2 linked regions of the Struthio camelus genome follow. The protein of the gene in region 1 purifies or fractionates together with the protein of each later gene. This does not show direct contact. Links are inferred from orthologs where the notes say so. Each region holds a gene or a part of one and is shown on either strand. Other genes may lie near its edges. The genes, in order: BMS1 and RCL1.

Evidence for each region.
Region 2: the proteins of BMS1 (region 1) and RCL1 purify together in Homo sapiens (co-immunoprecipitation; 4 studies listed by BioGRID and IntAct, with this or other methods). This does not show direct contact. The link is inferred for Struthio camelus from reciprocal best matches to the Homo sapiens genes BMS1 and RCL1.

The regions. Positions count from the first base shown.
Region 1 is NC_090948.1:30,463,535-30,474,350, forward strand, and holds the start of BMS1 (ribosome biogenesis protein BMS1 homolog), read left to right. Parts: upstream 1-5,859; 5' UTR 5,860-6,006; coding exon 6,007-6,182; intron 6,183-6,506; coding exon 6,507-6,697; intron 6,698-7,504; coding exon 7,505-7,584; intron 7,585-9,111; coding exon 9,112-9,300; intron 9,301-9,749; coding exon 9,750-9,892; intron 9,893-10,816. UniProt on the Homo sapiens protein: GTPase required for the synthesis of 40S ribosomal subunits and for processing of pre-ribosomal RNA (pre-rRNA) at sites A0, A1, and A2.
Region 2 is NC_090982.1:18,267,115-18,277,808, reverse strand, and holds the start of RCL1 (RNA 3'-terminal phosphate cyclase-like protein), read right to left. Parts: upstream 4,726-10,694; 5' UTR 4,684-4,725; coding exon 4,548-4,683; intron 1,444-4,547; exon of another isoform or gene 1,432-1,443; coding exon of another isoform or gene 1,407-1,431; intron 1,320-1,406; coding exon 1,248-1,319; intron 530-1,247; coding exon 354-529; intron 1-353. UniProt on the Homo sapiens protein: As part of the small subunit (SSU) processome, it plays a role in 40S-ribosomal-subunit biogenesis in the early pre-rRNA processing steps at sites A0, A1 and A2 that are required for proper maturation of the 18S RNA.

The sequences.
Region 1 (10,816 bases):
TGGATGAGCAGAGCTGTCTGCATTAAAAAAAAAAAAAAAAGTATGAGGAAAAGGTTGTGCTGTTGTGCTGAGCTCTTCAGCGCACGCTCTGGAGGGAAACTTCTCCTCAAAGTCACTGTGAAGTGCACTGGAGTGTGGCCATGACCTTTAGCATGAGCAGTGATTTTTGATGCAATGTCTAGTAAAGCTGCTTTATTAATGACAGAATTCCCACTGGAAGGAATAGGAGTGCGGCTGTCTAGTTAAATAGGAAAGGCAAGGAATTGTTTTCTGCATGCTGTAAGAGCCGAGATGGTTTCGAGAGAAGGGACGAGCTGAGCAGCCCCCTATCCCTTCGCTGTTGAGGGATCTCCACGCGCTCAAGGGAGCCTGGCCTATTTGGAGCAATCCCATGGGGAGGCCAGATTGCCTTTACTGTTGGAAAGCATGGGGAGCCCTTTCCGAAGGCCGAGCTGAAGCGCAGAGATAACTCCGTTCAATTATCGACTCTCGATTAGACTGAAAGGAGCCTCCCGATGGGTTTGCGGTGGCGCTGGGGGAATAGGGGGCTGCAGGCGCTGGGCGACACGGCGGCTCCGCGGCGGGGCGCGACCGCGCTGTGTTTGGTGATGGGAGGACAATGGAGGTGGGGGCACCTCTGAGTCACCGCCGGCGGCCGCCGGCCCGGCCCGGCCCGGCCCGACCCGGCCCGGCCCGGCCCTGCCCTGCCCGCCGGGTGGGGGTCGCCGCCACCGAGGCCTCATAAGGCGGCAGCGGCCGGGCCGGCCCCGCCGCCGCCCGCCGAGCCGCCGCATGGAGCCCGCCGGCCGCCAGCGCAGCCCCGCTGCCGGTGGCGGTGCCGCTGCCGGTGGCGGCCCCAGCCCGCCGCCCCGGGGGCCGCCCAGCCCCGCCGGCGCCCCGCGGCCCGCGGCGCAGGGGCCCCAGCCCCGCGCGGAGCCGGCCGGGCGCGGCCGCGGCGCCTCGACGCCGCCGCCCGCCGCCGCCGCCGCCCCCTCGCCGCCCGCGCTGCCCGGCGAGGCCCCGCGGCGCCCCGGCGCCCCGCGGGAGGGCGGCCGGCGGAAGCGCACCACCTTCAGCAAGGCGCAGCTGGAGCTGCTGGTGAAGACCTTCGAGGAGGACCCCTACCCCGGCATCGCCGTGCGGGAGCGCCTCTCCGGCCTCACCGACATCCCCGAGTCCAGGATACAGGTCGGCGGCGGGAGGGAAGGGGCGAGCCGGGCCCGGGGCCGGGGCCGGGGCCGCGGCCGTCGAGGGTGGCCTCGCCGCAGCCGGCAGAGCGGCGCGGCGCGGCGGCCCGCCGGTGTCGCTGGGGGCACCGGGGACTGCTTGCGCTCTCACTGGCGATGCTGCGAGTGGCTAACGGCGAGGGGCCCCTTCGGGCGGTCGCCGCTGCTCATTGCCGTCTGCTCCCTCTCCCCAGGTGTGGTTTCAGAACAGGCGAGCCCGGCAGCTGAACCACAAGAAGAGCGAAGCCTCCCCCTACGCCAGACCTGTGGGTGGCAAGCAGAAGCTGACCCACTTCGGTGGCGGCTGCCGAGAAGGGCCCCGAGTGGCGCACGGTCTCGGGCCAGATCCGAGCCCCTTCGGCCTGCAGCCCGGTCTACCCGGGGGAAGTCAGAACTTCTCTGGTCAGCCGCTACCCTATGCGGGGCCGCAGTACGCAAGGCTCGATACTCATTTCAAGAGCTTGGATAACGCATTTGGAGGCCACAGTCAGACCCCTTCTCACTTCGATTTGGACCACATGGCAAAAGGGGTCCAATTCAGTGTGGGAACCATAGGGAGTTCTGCCCAGCTCTCGCTCCCTGTGCAGCAAGTGCAGGAATATCCATACCTGAAGAAATCTTTCCCTGAAAACTACTACACAGAGGCAGATATTTTCCAGTCATGTATAGAAGATCACCAGTACCTGGCAGCAAAAGAGAACATGTGTGGGAGGCCTGTTTTAAACTACTTAAATGCTAATCAAGGCCTGGGCGATGAGAACTATTTGTATATCAAGTCAAACACCTCTCCTTCGGGTAAGGGTTTCATTTCAGATTATGGTGAAGGAGCATCTAATGTGAAGCTTGAGCTTGAGCAGAGGAGGCACAGTCCATCCCTGGTTGCAGGTCATGATGCTAGTCCCCCTTCGGTACTTGCAAAACATGAGGGGAGATATCAAGGGACGCTTTCTCCTCCAGCCCCGTCATTTGGGCAGCAGCTGCTGGAGGCAGTAAATGACTATGACCCTTATTGGCTGGGCATGAGAAATGAAATTTGGGGAACTGGTTTAGATTCGGTGTTTGAGAATGAGCAAAATGGAGAGCAAGGTGGGCCAAAAAGTTACCTTTTTACTTTTGATGGCTACAGTTCAACCTGTCATTTGGGTCACACATGAAACGGTGACAGAGTCTGTTGGCCTGATGAAAACTTAATGTTTTTTGTTTGATTGGCAGTTTCATCCAAAGCAGCTAGAGGTTTTGCAGGTCCAAGTAGGGAATACTTGCTGTGTATTTTGTGTGCTGTCAGGAAGGGAAGGGAAGGAAGATAAGCAAACTTTGCGAGGCACACAAGCGAATAACCTGCTCTGTGCGTGTGCATCGTTCTTCCTTCCCCCCCCCCCCCCACCCTTCCCAAACCTACCTCAGTTGTCACCAAGCTGCATACAGTGTTCCTGCGTGCGTTTGATTGTTGGTACCCACACATTGACCTGTACAGCTCAGCTTGCATATTGTTCACAAACGTTTCAATAGTGAAGATTTAGTCTTTGATGTTCAAACTGGATTGGATTCATTCTGCCAGGAGGCTGGGGACTACAGAATGGGTTTTATGGCCTTACTGTACTGGTTTTCTGTTTCCATCCTGGTCAGAATTCACTTTAACATCGTGGTCAGAATTCACTTGAAGAAATCTGTAGAAAACAGATGTTATATTTACAGCTTTTGGTGGAGAAATTCTAACATGAAAGGGATACAGACATGGGAAAAGCATCCTTGGTGGTGGAAGGGGATGGGTCACAGGGTGTGTTAGTGTTTTAGGTGTGCTCCTGATTAAGTGCACTGCTGATCTTATAGTGTTTTTATTTAAAAATGACCAAATACGTAGCCTTTTGAAAGGCAATATTTTTGTAGTTTCCTTTTTGTATAATTTTTTCCGATTTTCTGATTGTATTAATATTTTAAATGAATTGTGTTAATTTAATAAGAAACCCTCCAGACAAGTTACTATTTACCTGAAGGAGGTTTTCTACCTGTGTGTGATAAGAACTTGTAGAATTTGACTCACAGAAAAATGTAATTGAGTCCTGTCCTTGTACTTCAGATGTTGGGCCTATTTTTAGACTTCTCAAGATCACTGGCTGTCTGGAAGCCCAACATGATCATATAGTGCTTCAACAAAGGAAGGCTGGGGGGGGGGATGTATAGATCGGGAGGGCTGCCATGACTGTGTATTAAAGCAATATTGGGGCTAGCATATTGAAGACTGTATGCAAATCCTTTCTTGTGCTCAAAGTGTGGCTCCGGATTAATTTAAGTAAGCCTTGATTTTAAGATGAATGCTATTAACCTAATTATTATGCTTCTTTTGTTCTATAAACAAAATCAAATGTAAATACAGACCATTATTTTATTAATAAAATTGATGTGTCTCTGAAGAAGCTGTCCATTGATGTGTATATAAGAAGCCAAGAGTATTAGTTGTTATCTTGTCCGTAATTTTTAGCTGTGGCTGGGAACAAATCACTCAACTTTTCAGCCCAGCTTCTTCATGTTTGATAACGTAGAGTTGGAAGGAGGTTTTTCTCTCATGTTATTATGGAAGATCCATCAGACAGGCTTCTCTGAGAGTTAAGTACAAGGTAATGTCTGTATTTCTGGTTGTATATATGACTGCCTTAGTAAATTCTTTAAAACTGTGTTATTAAGATTGACTTTTTTTTTTTTATATATGCCCTCTCCCTCGTTAAGATCTCCTTACTGGCAAGTGAGAATTGTTCCCAGGCACAAAGAACAATTGTACCCGAGAAAGATAACTGACAGAAAGTAGTGTTTGAGAGTGTGTAGCAGGGTAACAGCCTTACTTTATGAGATAGGGTTGAGTTAGTTAAAGAAGAAGAGAAAACGGACATCCAAAAGAATAGCACTCCCACTAAACAAACAAGGATGGGGGCCCCTGGTTCCTCCCTGGAATCAGCAGCGGGGTGGGAGGCAGCAACTGGGTCTTCTCGGAGTATCCTCCCCACTTATCTCAGTGCCTGATAACCAGCTCCCTCCCTCTTGATGATGCTCTGCAGGTAAATATTTGGGAGGTCACTGACAGAAATTGGCCTAAGCGAGCTGGGTCTCATGCAGTGCAGTGCATCCTGCTCTGTTTCCCCCGCTCTTTGTCTGCAGACGTCCTACTCTGTCAACACTCCCAAACCTGCGCCAAGGCCAAGACAAAGGTAGCTCAGTTAGGCATTTCGCATTAAGCTGTTGCTACTGGCTGCTGCAGTAGTACAGGGCTTTCCCACCCCTTCATGTGGTCTAGGGAAGAAACTTCACTTACTATCAAACTCGCGTTTCTAACGGTGAAGTGGAACGCACTGTGAATACTTCCCAGAAGCAAGTCCATGACAAATCATTCTCCCCTTGGAGAACTACTTACTGCACAGCATGGAGCTTTTCTGTAAGGAACTGAATGTCTTTATTTTGTTGCAAGTCGCTTTTAACTGACCTATCTAGCATATATAGCGCACAAATAAGAAAATACGTGCAGTGCAGCTAGATGCAGTGCTCTCCTGTGACAACTCTTTTAAAATTTCACATTCTTAAAAAATACTCATTAGTCTGAGAATGCCAGAGTACAGGTGACATGTTTATTCATCATGTTTATTCATGCATGTCAAAAGCAGTGCTGCTCTGGCATGAACAAATTATGCTGAGGAAGAAGAGGTGAGGCAGTAACCAGGTGTGTTGAGTGGTGTGACCTTCTGCTGCCCCTAGGATGGCTTTTGTTATAGGGGAGAGTTTTGCACGCTGAATATTTAAAGCTGTGTTGTCTTTCACGTAACTTGTCAAAAAAGAGGGAGCGTGGCGTTCCAGATACGCTAACTCGCTTTGTATTCCACCAGGCCCTAGCCCATTGTTAGGCCTCTGAGTCACTTATTCCCTTACTTTGTTGGGGCCTATAAAGCGCATTCCCGCCCCGAAACGTCCTCCCGCAGGGGGAACGGCGGCGGGGGCCGGCAGCCCCCGCGACGACGGGGGCAGCCCCGGCGCCCACCTCGCTGCCGCCCGCCCGGGGCTCCCCTGCCGGCCTCGGGAGCTGCCCGGCCCCGGCCCAGGGCAAACGGCCTCCTTGGCGTGGTGGAGCAGGGCCTGGACCTACAAATAACGTCAGGGGGACTGGCGTCAAGGCGCAGCAGGCACCGGCCCGAGATCAACAACCGCTCCTCGCTTTGCCCGAAGTGACTCCCGCACGCCCGGTCACCTCTCGGGGGCGGGGGGTGGCCCTGGCAGCGGGGAAAAAGACGACCGCTGTGTGGCGGGAGCCCGTAGCACTAAGCACCCTCCCTAGCCTCGGCATCCGCCCGCCCCCGTGGCCCTTGCCGACGGTTCCCGTTTTTAGCAAAAACCCGCGGGCAGCCCCCGGGGCGCTGCCCGGCCGCCCACCCTCCGCCAGGCCTGGCGGCGGCCAACCCGCCCCTCGCCCCGCTTCCGCCCCTCCGAAAACCGCCCCGTCCCCGCGCCCCGCGGCGGAAACACCCGGCCGCCGCCGCCGCGCCCGGCGGGACCCAGGGCACCGGCCGCCCCTCCCAAGGGGGCGCCCCCCCCCCCCGCCCCCCGGCAGCCCGCAGCCCGCTCCGCCCCCGGAACTCGAGGCGCCGCCGCTGTTTCCGGGCGGGCGCCGGCGGCGTGCGTGCCCGGCCGGCGGCCTTTCCGCTCCCCCCGGTCACCGTGCGGGGCCCTGGGCGGCGGCGGCGGCGGCGGCTCGGGAGGGCGGGCGGGCGGGCGGGCAGCGGGGGACCCTGGCGTTGGGGCGATGGAGGAGAAGGAGAAGAAGAGGCACCGGGCCAAGCAGAGCGGCCCCAAGGCCGAGAAGAAGCGGAGGCGTCATCTCAGCGCGGTGGGGGCCGGCGAGGAGCAGGATGCGCGGAGGAGGAACCCCAAGGCCTTCGCGGTGCAGTCCGCGGTGCGCAGGGCCCGCGCCTTTCACCGGTGAGACGGCGCGGAGGGGCGGCGGCGGCTTCCCTCTCTTGCCCTGGGTAGGGGCAGAGGCGGCGCGGCCTTCCCGGGGGGTGGGGGCGGCCCCGGCCCCGGTCCCGGTCGCGGTCCCGGTCCCGGTCGCGGCCGCCTGGGCCGGCGCCCCGGGGGGAGCTCGGGGGCCGCAGCTGGCCGGCCCCTCTGTAGCCCCTCCGCCTCGATAGGCGTCCCGCGTGTACGCAAGGTCTTGGGGAGTTTTTACCACAAGACCCTGCAGACAGCGGGCGCTGTTGGTTTCCAAGCTCCTCTTATGTTTATTTGTTACGCGTTTCTCCCCAGAACCCAGGATTTGAAGACGAAGAAGCATCACATTCCGGTGGTTGACCGCGCGCCTTTGGAGCCGCCTCCCGTGGTGGTGGTGGTGGTTGGCCCGCCGAAGGTTGGGAAGAGCACTTTAATAAGATGTCTCATTAGGAACTTCACAAGGCAAAAGCTGGTTGAAATCCGGGGTCCTGTGACAATTGTTTCAGGTAAGAACAAAGATAGCAGCAACGGAAACGCTGGCTTTGTACTCCTTCTTTGTCTTTTAGAGCTTGACAAAGAAGGGGAGTTTGTTCTTAGGACGTGGTCACGTTCCCGACGACTTTCAGTTCACGTGATTGTGTTATCAGACGTACATGCTAATGGCAAAAGAATAATGAGATCTGGGTTTTGGGGCACGTGCCCCTCTGTACTTGTTCCTTCTACCCTTTTGGGATCCCGGTTCTGTTTTTTTTCGTTTGTTTGTTTTTATTTTTTCTTCCTGGCTGCTTGTCCACTTTCTTCATTCCAGATTTTTTGCAGGTTTTCCTTTTCTACTGGTTCTATTTTCCCTTCTATTTCCCTTTGATATTGGAATCCACTCTTTTTTGAAGGCTAGAACAGGACGGGATATTTCATAATCCTTTTCAAACGGACAGACGTGTTTGGTAAGATGAAATCCATGGTACTAACTCTGGGGCACTAAAGATAAAAGAAGAGGTGACCAGAAGTTTTCTTTAAGTAAGAAACTTTTTTTTTGTTGTTGTTAACTGTGTTTTTGGAAAAGGCAGAGCATCTTCTTTGAAAAGATGAGGTCCACTTGATAATTTGAACTAAAAGGTTAAAATTTAGCAGAATTATAAACAGTAGAAAAAGGCACTTCTGCAATGGCAGGTGTTTGGCAATTTGACTAGACAAGAAGCCGAGTCTCAGGTAGTTTTTAGGAACTTCAGGAGTTCGACCTGAAAAAAAAAAAGTGAACTACTTAGTTTGCTTCCTCTGTTTCAGTTTTTGCTTTTTCTTAATTTTGTTTTCAGGTAAAAAGCGCAGACTAACTATTATTGAATGTGGATGTGACATTAACACAATGATTGACCTGGCTAAAGTTGCTGATTTGGTAGGTAACCAATAGCACATGATTTCTAGTATAATTTATATTGAAAATAGTTCTTTTTGACTAGGCTATGTATGACTAGACATAGGTGACTAGGCACCTACCTCTGATCTCTCCACCCATTGCCATCAGAGGCAAAACAGTCGTCGGTTTCAGAGGGAACAAAAGTAAGCTTGACAACAAACCTGATTTTCTGTAGCAACACAAGTAACTCATAGGCCCTGCTTTTTTGGTTTTGTTTATTTGTTTTTATGGTTTTTTTTTTTAATTGAGGGGAGGATGGGGTAGAAGAGAAACGCATCTAAACTTTATTGCTAATACAACTTGTTAAAAGATCTTCCGTTAAAAGATGACAAGCCAAGATGATAAAGTGGCTGTTCATTAAGCAGTGTGGTCAAATCATGTGAAGTCTGAAAACGTTTTTAATTCAAGAGGTTTTCAACTAAAGTATAAAATGAAAGTATGTGTATATATATATATATATATATATATATGCTTCTGTAGTTGATTTTTCTTTGATGTGCTCCAGGTCTATCTTTGTGTATTAATATGACTGATTTCAGTGGAGTGTGGTCATTCTTTTATTTTACTCATGGCTTTTAGTTCAGTGACTCAAGCCTACTGATCTTGAGGACCCAATGCACAATCCATTTGTCTACTCAAATTTCTACTTTATATGTGGATTTAGAGCCTGTTTTTGTTCAGAGCTGATTAGGTCTTGGGCTCCTTAGCTAAACGTTAACTAAAATGCATCAGCTGATTCAGATATTTTTCTCCTTATGTTTTCTACTTGAGGGAGTGATATGTATTAAACACGCAAAACTTTTACTAAATAGGTGTGGCAGATGTTTAGGATTCTGAACGCACATGATTGTGCTGAGAATCTTGCTTGGTTTTATTGTTATGAGGCTGAGATTACATAATTGCCTGCGGATCATTGTTTTTGGTCCTATGCATTTTAGGATCATAGGATACTATTTCCCCATGCCAGTCTCTTTTAGTGATGCATAACAGTAGTCGCAGTGTGTGAAGAAAGTTTATTTGTCTCACTTTACCAGAAGACTGTTGTAGAGGCATTAGTGCACCTAAAGTAAAGTTATCCAAAATGGTGGGATTTTTACTAATTTACTATGACATTGCTACAAATATTGGAAGATGCTCAATTTTTGCATATTCTGAATTCACCAAGTAAACATTATTCACCACCCTATTATGATACTATATATTACTGTATTCATAGAGGAGATTTATTTTTATTCTTTAGTTTTTCTGGAAGGAATAAGCAAATCAAAACTACATAAAGGAGATTTGATTGGAAGAAGAGACTTGATTTTTTTCTAAGCCCTGCTAGCTTTTAAGGCAGCTAAGATGCACATTTTAATTTAAAAGCCAGGTTATATGAAAATAAAGAACAGAACCGCATGCAATATTTTGGTGCCCAAGTTTATGACTTAAAAAGCTTGATCTTTGAAATTAGCTCATGCAGGCATCATGGTCTTGTTAAAGTAAATGCTGATGTTATGCTTTCAGGTTTTAATGCTCATTGATGCCAGCTTTGGATTTGAGATGGAAACATTTGAATTCCTGAACATTTGTCAGGTGCACGGCTTTCCCAAAATCATGGGAGTTCTTACCCACCTGGATACGTTCAAGAACAACAAGCAATTAAAGAAGACAAAAAAGAAGTTAAAACACAGATTCTGGACTGAAGTATATCCGGTATGACATTCGACGGATGTTTTATGTATATTTTGCAGTATGGAAATTAACTGGAAAGTAGGGAAATACTTAAATATTTAAATTTATTATATTCTTATACCTTTTAATAATACTATAAGCGGACAATTCTGATGTTATCAGGCTAAACAAGTGATGCTAGAAAAAATGTTTGTTACTTGCAGGTATTATGCAAGGAAGATCAGCATCTAGGTCTGGAAAACAGGTTAACCTTTTGTACGAGGTTTTGGCTGTGAATTGTTTTCCCTAACAATTTGGGGGCAATGTTCATTTTAAGGTAAATTAATTAGTTTCCATCTTCTAGAACCAATTGTTAACTTACGACTTGCAATTATGATATCCAAATTAGAATTGTTTTTGTTTTGTTTCAATTTTATCGTTATTTAGTTTATGTTTAATGTTAATTTTTTATGTATTTTTAATATGTTTAGGGTGCTAAGCTATTTTACCTGTCTGGGATGGTTCATGGAGAATATCAAAAGCAGGAAGTTCACAATTTAGGGCGTTTTATCTCGGTTATGAAATTCCGACCTCTTACGTGGCAAACTTCTCACCCGTATGTTCTTGCAGATAGGTACGTGCTTTTCTTTTTTCCGCAATCTCAGTAAGGCAGCACCTTATTGGTTTTATTAACATACTTCTTTAAACAATCAGCTCTGTGTGTGTAATGATTATTTAATTTTATCTAAGATACTGTGACTATGTTCTACTATATACCTAGATGGTTTTGAGGAAATGAAGGCGTACTTTGCAGGTCTGTGCCAATAACTTTGGCTGTTCAATTTCTACTTGCATCAGATTGTACACATAGACCTTTGCTGTACTGTAAAACCTTTTGAAGCACAGAAAAAAACATTTTAAATAATCCTGCTTGTTGATGATGTTGAATTTCTCTGGAAAAGAATTATTAAATTGAATTGTAGCAGTTTAACAACAGCTGGTGAACTAGTCCTCTGTGTTCCCTGCAGTGTCTCTTCTGCTCAATCCCCATGCGTAGTGTTTGATTCAAGGTCTCTGTTTGGAATGTGAAAGTACACTTGAAGGTAGACTTGGCTGTGTCTACCCAAGAAATTACTTCTCCCTTCACGTTTCCTTGCCAGAATGCTTACGTGTATGACTAAAGTCTCACAGGAATTCAAGGTGCCTGGAACGCGTTTCTTTCAAAGCTCTAAATCTTTTAAAAAAAAAAAAAAAATTGGTGGAGAAGTAGATAAGCATCACGCAAAGTCCCATAATAGGCATGAAGCAAAGAAAGGAGCAAAGGGGGAAAAAATATTCAGTTGTCTTTCAATAATAGTTGTTTTAAGTTACTATAGCTGTTACAATTCTTTTGGTCTTTAGGCCAGTTAAGCCAAGGTAAGTGCAGGCTACATCCAGAACGTGTCCCCGTCCTCGGCTGCTCACCATGTGCAGGCACGATCACTGGTGCAGTGCACAGAGGAGCTCTGGAAGGAGTTTTGATCTCATCTGGCTGAAAACTGCCAGTCTTCCCCTCTCT
Region 2 (10,694 bases), on another chromosome or scaffold:
GTGTGCAATGGGGGAATAATACATCTAAATTTTAAGAGAACAGGAGAAGCAAACCTATGGCAGGGCTTCACATCACATTCAGAGGGAGCTTCCACTGAAGAAAGGAGAAGCTGCCCAGAAATGAACGTCCAAACATGGATTACAAACTACAGTTTGGAGTACGAAGCAGAAAGTGGACAGACCAGAAGATGCTTGTTTGATTCAGAGAGCTTGCTGGCTCATACAATAATACTAGATACTGCTGGTTGTGAGAAATTACAAAATGCAATAGGATTTGGAGACTTTCTTTTTTCGATTGAGATGAAGAAGGAAAAAAATCCTCTTTAGCCACTTAATAAATTTTCATTACTTACCGAAGGATCTACTTGATCATTTGTTACTCCCCTCAGGACAATCTTTAATGGGTGTTTCATGAAAGGTGCTAGACAGAGCAGACTTTCCAAATAATAGCCAATACTGCGACTGGGGCTGCAGTCATGTTCCAGGGAACCTCCATACAAAAGACCAGGCTGATAATACAAGGTTGTACCTGGGGGAAGACATCGTATCAGAGTGTTGTCAGCGCACCAGCCACGACTACAGCGTAAAGATACTTTGCAGTGATGAGTACCAGCAAACTGGAGACAAAAGAACATATGAGGCAGGTAGCGCTTCCAGCACACTTCTTCCATGTCAAGAATCCTTTAATCATGACAAAAAATGCTTACGGAGGCCACTGTCATACTTCCACAGCAGCCGAACCTTTACCAGAGCAGGTCATTGCCATCCCAGCGCACCTAGTGGTAGGTTATCTGCTCTACTGACCCTATGAAACTCTTAGAAGTCCCTGTAACATTATACAAGAGAACAAAAACCCGTTGAGATATCTCCGTCGGAAGCTTCTCCGTCCAGCTAACTCCTCTTTCGAGCATGACTAGGCAAGTACAAACCTTGCCTTCTACAAAAACCCCTTCTGGTTCAGAGGAATCTTCCTCCACTAGGAAATCCTGCATATCAAACAGAACAGAAAATTTAAAGTCTCGAGCAACGCGTTTTCCTTGACTCGCTGCATTATGGTGGAACATGCTCTTCTTGCCTGTGATCTACCGCTACAGAACTTCTCAGCCTGATTATGTCTGGTCTGCTTGGTCTTTCGTACCAAGCTATCTAACATACTCAGCCCTGGCAAGCCAAAACTTTTCTTTTACTGCAGCACATGATAGAGTCTGGTAGACCAGCACAGAGGAAGACGAGAAGAAAGCTCTCACCTGTTTGGTTTATTTCAATCCTAGAGCCATTGGTCACTTTGTCAATGAGGCGAATAAAACTTGCTTCAAAATCTGAGGAGGCAAAAAAAAAAGAATTTTAAAGTTTCTTAAACATGTTCCTGAAAACAATAAGAAACTTCAACACATAACATACCATACCTATACGTTTTCCCTTTCCGGCCATCCATGACACTCTCTGGAAGACAGTAAGACTACCCTCACTCTTCTGATTGTTGCAGTGCAATTCTGCCACATGGAAAAGGGCACTTGACTATAAATGCAGAGGCCTAAATTTGAGTCTCATGGGCCTCTCAAATCAGTGCAGGTGCACCCAGATGTGACCATGGGATGAGCCATGTCGCTCTCCCCTGCTTACAGCGAGGTATGGGAGCTGGCACATCTGATCACAGTGGTCTGAGGGGTCACTGGTGCCCAGCATAAAGCCTTTTTAGTTAGTAGAAAGGTCACCTTTGCACATATGCACAAATTCTAGCAAACAGGACCCTGTTCATTTAGGCCTGAGAAGCTTCCCATTATTTTTTGTAGAAGTCTTATTTGAAAAGAAGCTGACCTTCAGATGTAAAGTATACAGCTGTTCCAAAAACACCGTCATGATATCTGTCCACAGACTTTTGACTTTTCCCAAACCATTAATGACGCAATAAAGGCTAGAGAAATACAAGTCTTCCCGTTACCTCTCTTTCGTCTTAGAATGTGCATTGTAGCACCTTGTACGAAACTAAATACTGAGTTTCTCCTGCTTGTGCAGGATCTCTCTCAGAGCCACGGGAAAGAAACAAGCATGAAAAAAGGAATGTTAGTATTCTAGTATTTAGGTATCCTAAGTTGGCAGACCCTCACTATCAAGGAAAATACAGTTTAAATATAACTCAAAAATCAGTTAATTTTAAGAGCCACCAGCACCTGCGTAATTGTGAATTGGTTGTACAACTTCATTAGCAGTAATGCTACAGTAGTCCTTAACCAGCTATCAGATTTTTATTCCTATGTATGCTTCTAGGATGCAATAAACATTTAAACCAATGAGCTATTTGCAGGAATTACAGTTTGTTAATCAAGCCTAGTATGCTTGATGACGCAGACACACAGCACTGGTTCTGCTCTCTGCCCTGAGAATTTGTACGCTCAGCTTTACATGATAGTTCTGAAATCACTTCCAGGAAGGAAGCACATCCTCATGAATAGCTGCTACCCTCTTCAGGGACAAACTGATATAAAAGTTTTCCTTGCAAAGGCTCTAGCTATGAAAAGCAGAGAGCGCTGCATGTTTAATAAACTTCTTTCCTGTGAGGGCGACGGAGCATTGGAACAGGTTGCCCAGAGAGGTTGTGGAGTCTCCTTCGCTGGAGATATTCAAAACCTGCCTGGGCATGATCCTGCACAATGTGCTCTGGAGGACCCTGCTTCAGTAGGGGGGTTGGACTAGATGATCTCCAGAGGTCCCTTCCAACCTCAACCGTTCTGCGATTCTGTGAGTCTGTAATATCAACACTAATTAGGGTTTGTTATTGTGCTTTTTCTGCTACAGTCACAGTTTGTATTTTAACCCATGCTCGGAAAATATAACTCACCTATTTAAAAAAATAGCAAAAACTACCTTCATCACAAGCAAACACTCCATGGTAGTAATAAATACTTGGGGTCTTGGTAAATGTTAAGTACATAAGAGTGTTTTGAAAGTTTAACAGGAAAACTTCTGGCTACGAACTGAAGCCTTCTCAGGAGTACCTGTGCAGGTGCTAGGCCTGTTCTCCACTTTGCAGCTTGCCCAAAAAAGAACTAAGTGATGTATCTGAGATAGCTGGCCCTCCTGACTGCCACTGTCATGGCCGTAGGAATGACTAGATATTACTTATTACCAACTGCAGAAGTATTGTAACGTGTTACCTTTACTCCTATTTGGCCATAGAACAGATAAAAGTCAAGGAATAAACTCCGATCCAGTAAAATTGCTGGAACTTTGGCTCCAACAAAGAGACAGAAAGAAAGCCGTTGGGTACAGGGCAACCACGGACGGCTGCAGGGCCAGCAAGTCCTGCAGCTTTTGAGCAGAGAGCCCACTTTTATACAGAAACTGTCCCGTGCTGGAGCTGGCCATGTAGTCCATGTGCAGTCCAGTGGCTCAGGCTCACCCTCGGGATCTCCCCCTGTCGCCCTGCCTGCAATGCCCGATGCCTCACTGCAAGGAAAACCAGCTGGAGTGGCCTGGGAGCACAGAGCCAGCCCTCTGCAGAAGTGCTCAGCGGGGCAGGGAAGCCAGAATTACCCAGTTACCTGATGCAGTCTGCCCCACAAACAAGGCAGGCCTGTGAGTGGGCAAACGCAGCCGCACGGGAAGGTCCAGAGGCTTTCGAGGCCACGTCCAATCCCACCACCGCCGGCACACATGACTAAAGCTGCCCACAAGGCGTTCGCCTCCCCAGCCACCCGCTCGCTCTGCCTTGGTCTCTGCCACCATCCCCGGGGCGTCCGGGCCCCTTCGCCGCACATCCCCAGGCCCCACACGCTCCGCACTGCTCCCTCCTGCGGGCAGGAGACCCCTCGGCCGCTGCCGGCTCCATCCCCGTCGCTACGGAGGAAAAGCGGAGGGAATCTCGCGCCCCAGGCACAGCCCCTGGAAATTTTGCCACCAGCACTCTGCCCCGCTCAACCGCACTGTCCTGGCCCCAGATAATCTGTTTGTCCCTGGATACCCCGGTTGCCCTCACACCCCCTGGATACTCCACTTATCCTCACACCCCCAGATACTCTGGTTGCCCTCACACCCCCTGGACACCCCAGTTATCCTTGTACCCCTGGATATCCCAGTTACTCTTGCACCCCCTGGATACCCCCGTTACCCTCGCACCCCCAGATACCCCTGCTACCCTCGCACCCCCTGGATACCCCCGTTACCCTCGCACCCCCAGGACACCCCCGTTACCCTCGCACCCCCGGACACTCCCGTTACCCTCGCACCCCCAGGACACCCCCGTTACCCTCGCACCCCCAGGACACCCCGGCTCGTCCTCCCGCCCGGGTGGGGGTTTCGGGGAGAGCAGGGCGCTGTGCCCGCGGCCGTTCCCCGCACGGTGCCCGCACCCCTTCCCCGCCGCGGGCTGGCTCGTCCCCGGTGCCTCCTCGCCGCCGCCGCTGCCGCCGCCGCGCCGGGCAAGCACGACCAGGCGGCCGGGCCGCTGCTGCGGCGCTGCGCTGCACTGCCCTGCCGTGCCCGGCCCCTCCGCCCGCCTGCCCGCCCCGGCGCCGCTGCCGGCGCCGCTGCCGGTACCGGCCGCTCACCGCGGAGGCCGGGGTCCTCCTCCTTGGCGCGGATCTTGCGGATCTTCAGCGGCCGCCCGCTCAGCGTGGACAGCACCAGGCGCTGCCGCAGGAAGTTGCAGCCCGCGTAGCTGAGGCACTGCGAGCGGCCCGACATGCCGCCCCCGCCGCCCGCTCCCCCTGCGCTGCGCTCCCCCTGCGCTGGCCGTCCCGCTCCTGCCGCCGCCGCCGCCGCCGCCCGCCGAGCCCACGTGGTTGGGAACAGGAAGCGCCGCGCGCGACAGCGCGGGGGTCACAGGGCGAGGGGGCGGGGCGGGGCGGCGGCGGCCGTTGGGCGGCGGCGGCCGTTGGGCGGCGGCGGCCGTTGGGCGGCGGCGGCCGTTGGGCGGCGGCGGCCGTTGGGCGGCGGCGGCCGTTGGGCGGCGGCGGCCGTTGCCGCCGCCCCGCCGGAGTCAGTCCGTAAAGCGTGAGCGGCGTTGTTTCCCCCGGGGTGGTTTCCTGGCGAGAGTAGTAAAAGCGAAGGTAGGAGCCGTCGGAATAACCTGTTAAATCGCAGTCAGCTCCAGCTGGGGAGCGGCAGTTTGGCAGTGAGGAGGGAGCTGTGTGCGCCACCTCTGCGGCTGTGCCGGCGGGGCTGCGCGCTGCTGGTGCGCCGGCTTCTCCTGGCAAGCACGGCTTTGCCAGCGTAGGGAGTTTGCCACAGTAATAAATTGCGATTCCTGCGTGAAGCGCTGTTATCGGAGGCACAGCTTAAGCGATATTTAAGTAGTAGTTATTGCCTCTTTGAGCGTTTGTGCTGTATATGCTTATTTTTTGCTGGAGGTTGGAGTTTATCTAACTGTTACGTGGCTCTATGTTTTATCCGTGCTGTTATGCCGTGCTTTATTTCTGAACAATTCAACTTCTCTGGGACATTTGAGTCCTCTGTTTTTTGACAGGTGAATAATTAAATCCTGGAATGAAATGTGGTACGAGATCAGGATACTCTCCCTAGAGAAGACTAAATTAATCTATCTTTCTTCAGACAATTCTTTTCGGTAGTTTATCCCTGGCTGCCTTGTTCAGATGAAATATTGTACTGGTTAAAGGAAAATTAAGCAGAGATGCCAGCTTCATGCTCCACACTTGGAGGAATTTGGTCTGATTTCTGATCTTCTGCCCAAGCTGTTCCCTCAACTGTAGCGGCACAACCCAACGTCCCTTACGTAAGAGGCCGAGGGAGGCTTTCAGTCTGTTTCAAGAGGTACATGAATTACAGTAGACGTAACAGGGTTAATGGCTAGACTGTGTTATGTACACAGGGAAAGAAGTTTCTTGTTTTATAAAAGAGAAGAAAAGGGGTGAGAGTGATCCCCACTGAATTGTGTCGACGAATACACTCCATTTCGTTTCTCTCGTGCTTTATAGCACGCATCTGTAGCTGCATCTTTGTAGCTTTCTTTTCATTATGAATGGAGTGTTTGCTGATGTCTCATGTCACATCTCATCCTTGGTTAAATACAATCTGTATGCTGCTGTGGACGACAGATTGTTGTCAGGGAGCTGGAAGAGCTGGGCTGCTCCTCAAGGGAGAGTGAACCCGGGGCTGAGGGTGACTACAGCACAGGGGGGGCACAGACCAGGGTGCAGTTCCACAGCACCTGAACATGGTGGGCAGAGCAGGATGCTTGTGATAGGGTCCATTGACAGTCGCGCTCAAGGGAAAATTATCTGTCAGGTCCAGGATCCATCCAGTGAGTCCTGTCAGGCACAGCGGGCAGTGGAGCGAGGAACAATGCTATGATACAAGTCTGAGGTGTCCATCCAGGAGCCAGGACTAGAGACAAGCTACCTACAACAAGGGGTCCATCTAAGAGACAGGACTGGAGGCAGATGTGTATCTGTGGCTTATGACATAGGCCTGAGGCCCACCCCGGAGGTGGGACTGGAGATAGGTACACCTACAGCATAGCTCAAGCAAGGACTGAAGGCCCAGACCTGAGCTTAAAGAGAGTTTCCTCAGCCCATGGACAGAGTACGTGGGTGAAGGTCCCAGGTGAGGTTGGCGAGGGCCATTGAGGCCTGCTGGTGCACTTAAGGCCCTGACAGTCATCTTGAGTGCATCATCTCTGATGCAAAACAATGACAATCATCTCTAATGCAAGAAACACTGGCTTCTTGTTCTCAGTGACACTCTCTGCAATTAGAGCAAAAAAATTCATCCCTAATCATATGAACTGATACAGTGTATTCATCCAGAGTTACAAGGGAATGGAGAGGTCCACCATTTTTTTATTTCTACTGTACACAGCACTCCTGTTCCTCATTCTCTCCTGTATTCTCTGTAAAGCTATCCTTCTGCAGAAAAATCCTGTTGAATGTAAGATATTTCTATAAAATGTAGACATGTTCTAGATAGAGCATAAGTTACATCTATGCCTTAAGATCCTCTAGGATTATACAGCAACTCAGAAGATATACTCAGGGAGGAAGACATCAAAAGGGGCTTTAAACCTCTTAATACTACTTGGGTATTTGGCTGAACGTAAGGTGAAGCAGCCGCTGTTGTGAACTAAAGCAGCTCTGTGTGTTCAGTATCCCTGTAGCACAGAACAAAAGAGGAGCTCAGCCTTTTCTTGATGCTCTTACTGTGAAGGACCACATGCTGTGAGAGCACACAGGCCGGAAGAGAAAAGGACTGATATTTTCCATAAAACCTGATAACACTTTTTCTGAATAGGTTGTTTCCCAGAGACTGAATTTTTTTTTTTTCCGTGACAGGGACTCTTCGCAGCAACTATGACTAGACATCCTCTTGTTAGCTGCTGACTGGCAAAGCTTTTCTGATTAGTGTTGATAGGAATCATTAGTATATTGGAGAAACCAACCTCCAAACTACCTCTAGTGTAATATTTGTTACAATTTGGCTAATACGATCCTCAGAAGATAATCTTTGTCTTTACTAGCAGCCATGGAAACTGCATTGCAACTTCTGTGGAAGCAGTGCAAATACACCCCCACACATCTACATTTATTTTTTCCTGCTTTCTTTCAGATTGCAGGTAAAATATGCCTCTGAATCACAGCAAAAATGGTCAGTGATGAGCTAGTCACAGTTTTGCTTGTCCCTGAGCTGCTATGGTGGATGAGAGTGCAGGAAAAGTTTAACATTTGATTTCTGTGGTGTTAATCTTTCCTTCTGTCCTTTATGTTGACTCCAGCTAAGAACCACTTTTCACCTGCTTAGTCACACATTCATTATTGTAGTAAGGAGCATTGCAAGATTACAGTCACCAGGACATCATAGTAGACACTCAGCAAGGCCTTTTATCCGTCTTACAAAGGTCTTTTTGAAATAAAATCAATTCTATATGTGTGCAGACTTTTTAGCAGTGAGAATCCACATCAGATAATTGGTGCTAACTCATGAGAGGCTCACGAGCTATTCGCATCCCCTTTGATACGCTTATCTCCACAAGAACTGTGAAGAAAAGTTGCTGCTGTTCTTTTTTCTTTTTTCTTTATATATTTTTTAATGAACTGGAGTCTTATCTTGCAGTAGCTCCTCCTTAGTAACCTGAGGTGAGGAAGCAACCAACTGAAATTCCTTGGCTGAGCAAGGGAAATAATACAATATTACAGAAGTGTCGAGTCTTTCTGTGTTATGTTATTATTTCTATTACTGGCACTTTTAAGCCTTAACCAAGATCTGATTGTGACTGTGCTATGTGCACTAGCTTTTCTCCTCTGAAATTCCAGCAGAGAGACATGATGAAAGAAAAATTTGAGAAGCACTTAACCGACATCAGCACCAGAGCTACTAGAAGTCAGATCTTATAACTGTCAGGTCAGCGCACGTGGTGAGTCAGTACAGCATTTCCAGTCAGACAAGGAGGATCCAAAGGAGGGCTGGATCTATTTAGAAGGGGGTGGGGTATGTGTCATGGGGACAACTAAAGAAAGGCGCAACAGGGAGGAGTGGGTGGGTCTTTCAAGGATTAGCTAGGATAGCAACGTGGAACTTACCTGAGCAGAACAGGCTGAAGACTGGGGAGAGTGGTAGCGGGTTCAATTCCCTTAATGGAACTGGCTTTGTGAAGTTCTTAAGAGGTGATGGGGAGGCTCCCTGGCCATCTGTGAGCAGACTGTAAGCAATGTAGGGAAAAGGTCCCTCTTTTCTTTAGAAGAAAGAGTAACTCCCTAGCTGGAAGCAGGGAAGTGAGAATAGGAAGTTCCTGCTGAGAAAGCCTGTTGGACCAAAAGCAAGAGGTGGAAGGTGCGACTATCAGGGTGTATATGGTCTCAATGCGCTGTCTGTAAGGCTATGGAAGGCTAACAGTGCTGTGCATAATAAAGAAATATTATAATAAAGGATTATTAGGTAATAAAGGAATGTCTCTGCCTACATTCTGAAGAACTGGTAGAGGGCTTTCATTTTCCCCCTATCCCCAAATCTGTAGGGGCATGACTAGACCTAAAGGAACACAACTGATGTAGCTGTCAGTCAAAACATCAGAAAACCTCCTTCTTGCCTTACGTTTTACCTCAAAGAAACTGCTATGCTTTACCCATGCAAACATGGGATGATGGTGCATACGTAACTGGTAAAGAAGCCTTTGGTAAACTTGAGTTTACTGAAATAAGGGGACTCTCCTGCAAAATCAGTATAATAACCCCAGCTATGGCTGGACAGAGAACTTCTTGTGTACAGTGTTAATGGGCAACAGTATTCAAGAGCTCAGTCTTTCAGGTGTTAGAGCAGCTGCTTGTTTGAATCAAATACATATGATGGATTTGGAATGGGAATCTTTATGGGGAGGCAAGTCGAGCCTTGAAGCAAAGTTAATCTTCCAATGTATCATGTAAAACTACCAAAAAAAAGTTGATAGAGCCATTCATAACTGAAAAGGTCTCGCCCGTGAACCTTGTTAATTGGGACGTAGTAACTTCACTTAAAAATTGGAATGTACCGTGTGGTAAGGTCGAGACAGTTCAGGAGTCCTTATGCGTAGGGATTCTCAGTAACAATATACTGTCTACTTGGTTTATCTCATCTCCAATTCGTTTTGCCTCTGATGACTTCCTACTTAAAGCAACTTTAAACAGCTCTCTTCGCTGTTGATTAGTTTAATTAACTGCTGTAGTTCACCCTCAAGGTAAATGTTTCGCAAACTACCAACAGGAATACTAATAAATGCCAGCTTTGGCTCTTTTTGACGAAACATCTGTCCCAAATTTTGTGCCCTGTGTGTACATAGTCACACAATTCTCTTCGTAAGGCTGTTTGCTCTAATATCACAAACAGGGCGGGGGGAACACCTTTTTCTGACTGCATTACAAGTTATACAGGGATGGTGATGTGAAGCACATGATAACAACTAACTGGCAGGAGAAAATAACTTTTCCTACAGCTCAAATGTGACACTAGATTTGCAATGTTTGCTCATCTCTGTGAATGAAGCCTTTTTAGAGCTGAAGATACAAAGCGATACACCTTCTTTTGGTAAGCTTAGGAGTCAACCTAGATTGTAAAGTGCAATATTTTGGACCAGCTGAGAACAGAAAGGGCGAGGTTAGGAAGACTGCCATTTGAGCTTTTTTCATACTTGGAGCCATGCTATAAGCCAAATTGTACTGAAATACATTATTTTTTAAATACGCAGTCTGTCACAGGGCTGCATTCCAGTTGGCAGCTGCACAGTGAGCGTATGACACAACCATGAAAGCTTGTGGGTCTGATATTATCATATTATTCAGGTATAAACTCTTCTTCTTGCAGAAGGATAAGAATTAATCACATTTAATGATGAGAATGACCTGTCACAATGTTCTTTTTATGTTCTGCATATATTTGAGAGAATCTGAAACTCAGGGATGTGTAATCTTTTCTTAAAAAAACAAGATGGAAATTACTGCAGTGGTTTGTCTCCTGCACTTTATCCAAAACAAGGACTATGATGTTTTTAATGCATTTATTCTTCCTTCCTTTTGCTTCTGTGCTCTGCAGTGCCTATTAAATAAAAATCCTGTGTCCTTTCTCCATTTGCATGGAGAAAAGTCCAGATCCTTCTCAGTTACTCTTAACACTGCTCTCTGCAATGTAAGAGTAAATTTTTCCTGCCTTGTTCCCGAGGCTGGACATTTCTAGGAGTAATGGAGAACAGCTGTCTTTTTAGGAAGGCTTTAGGT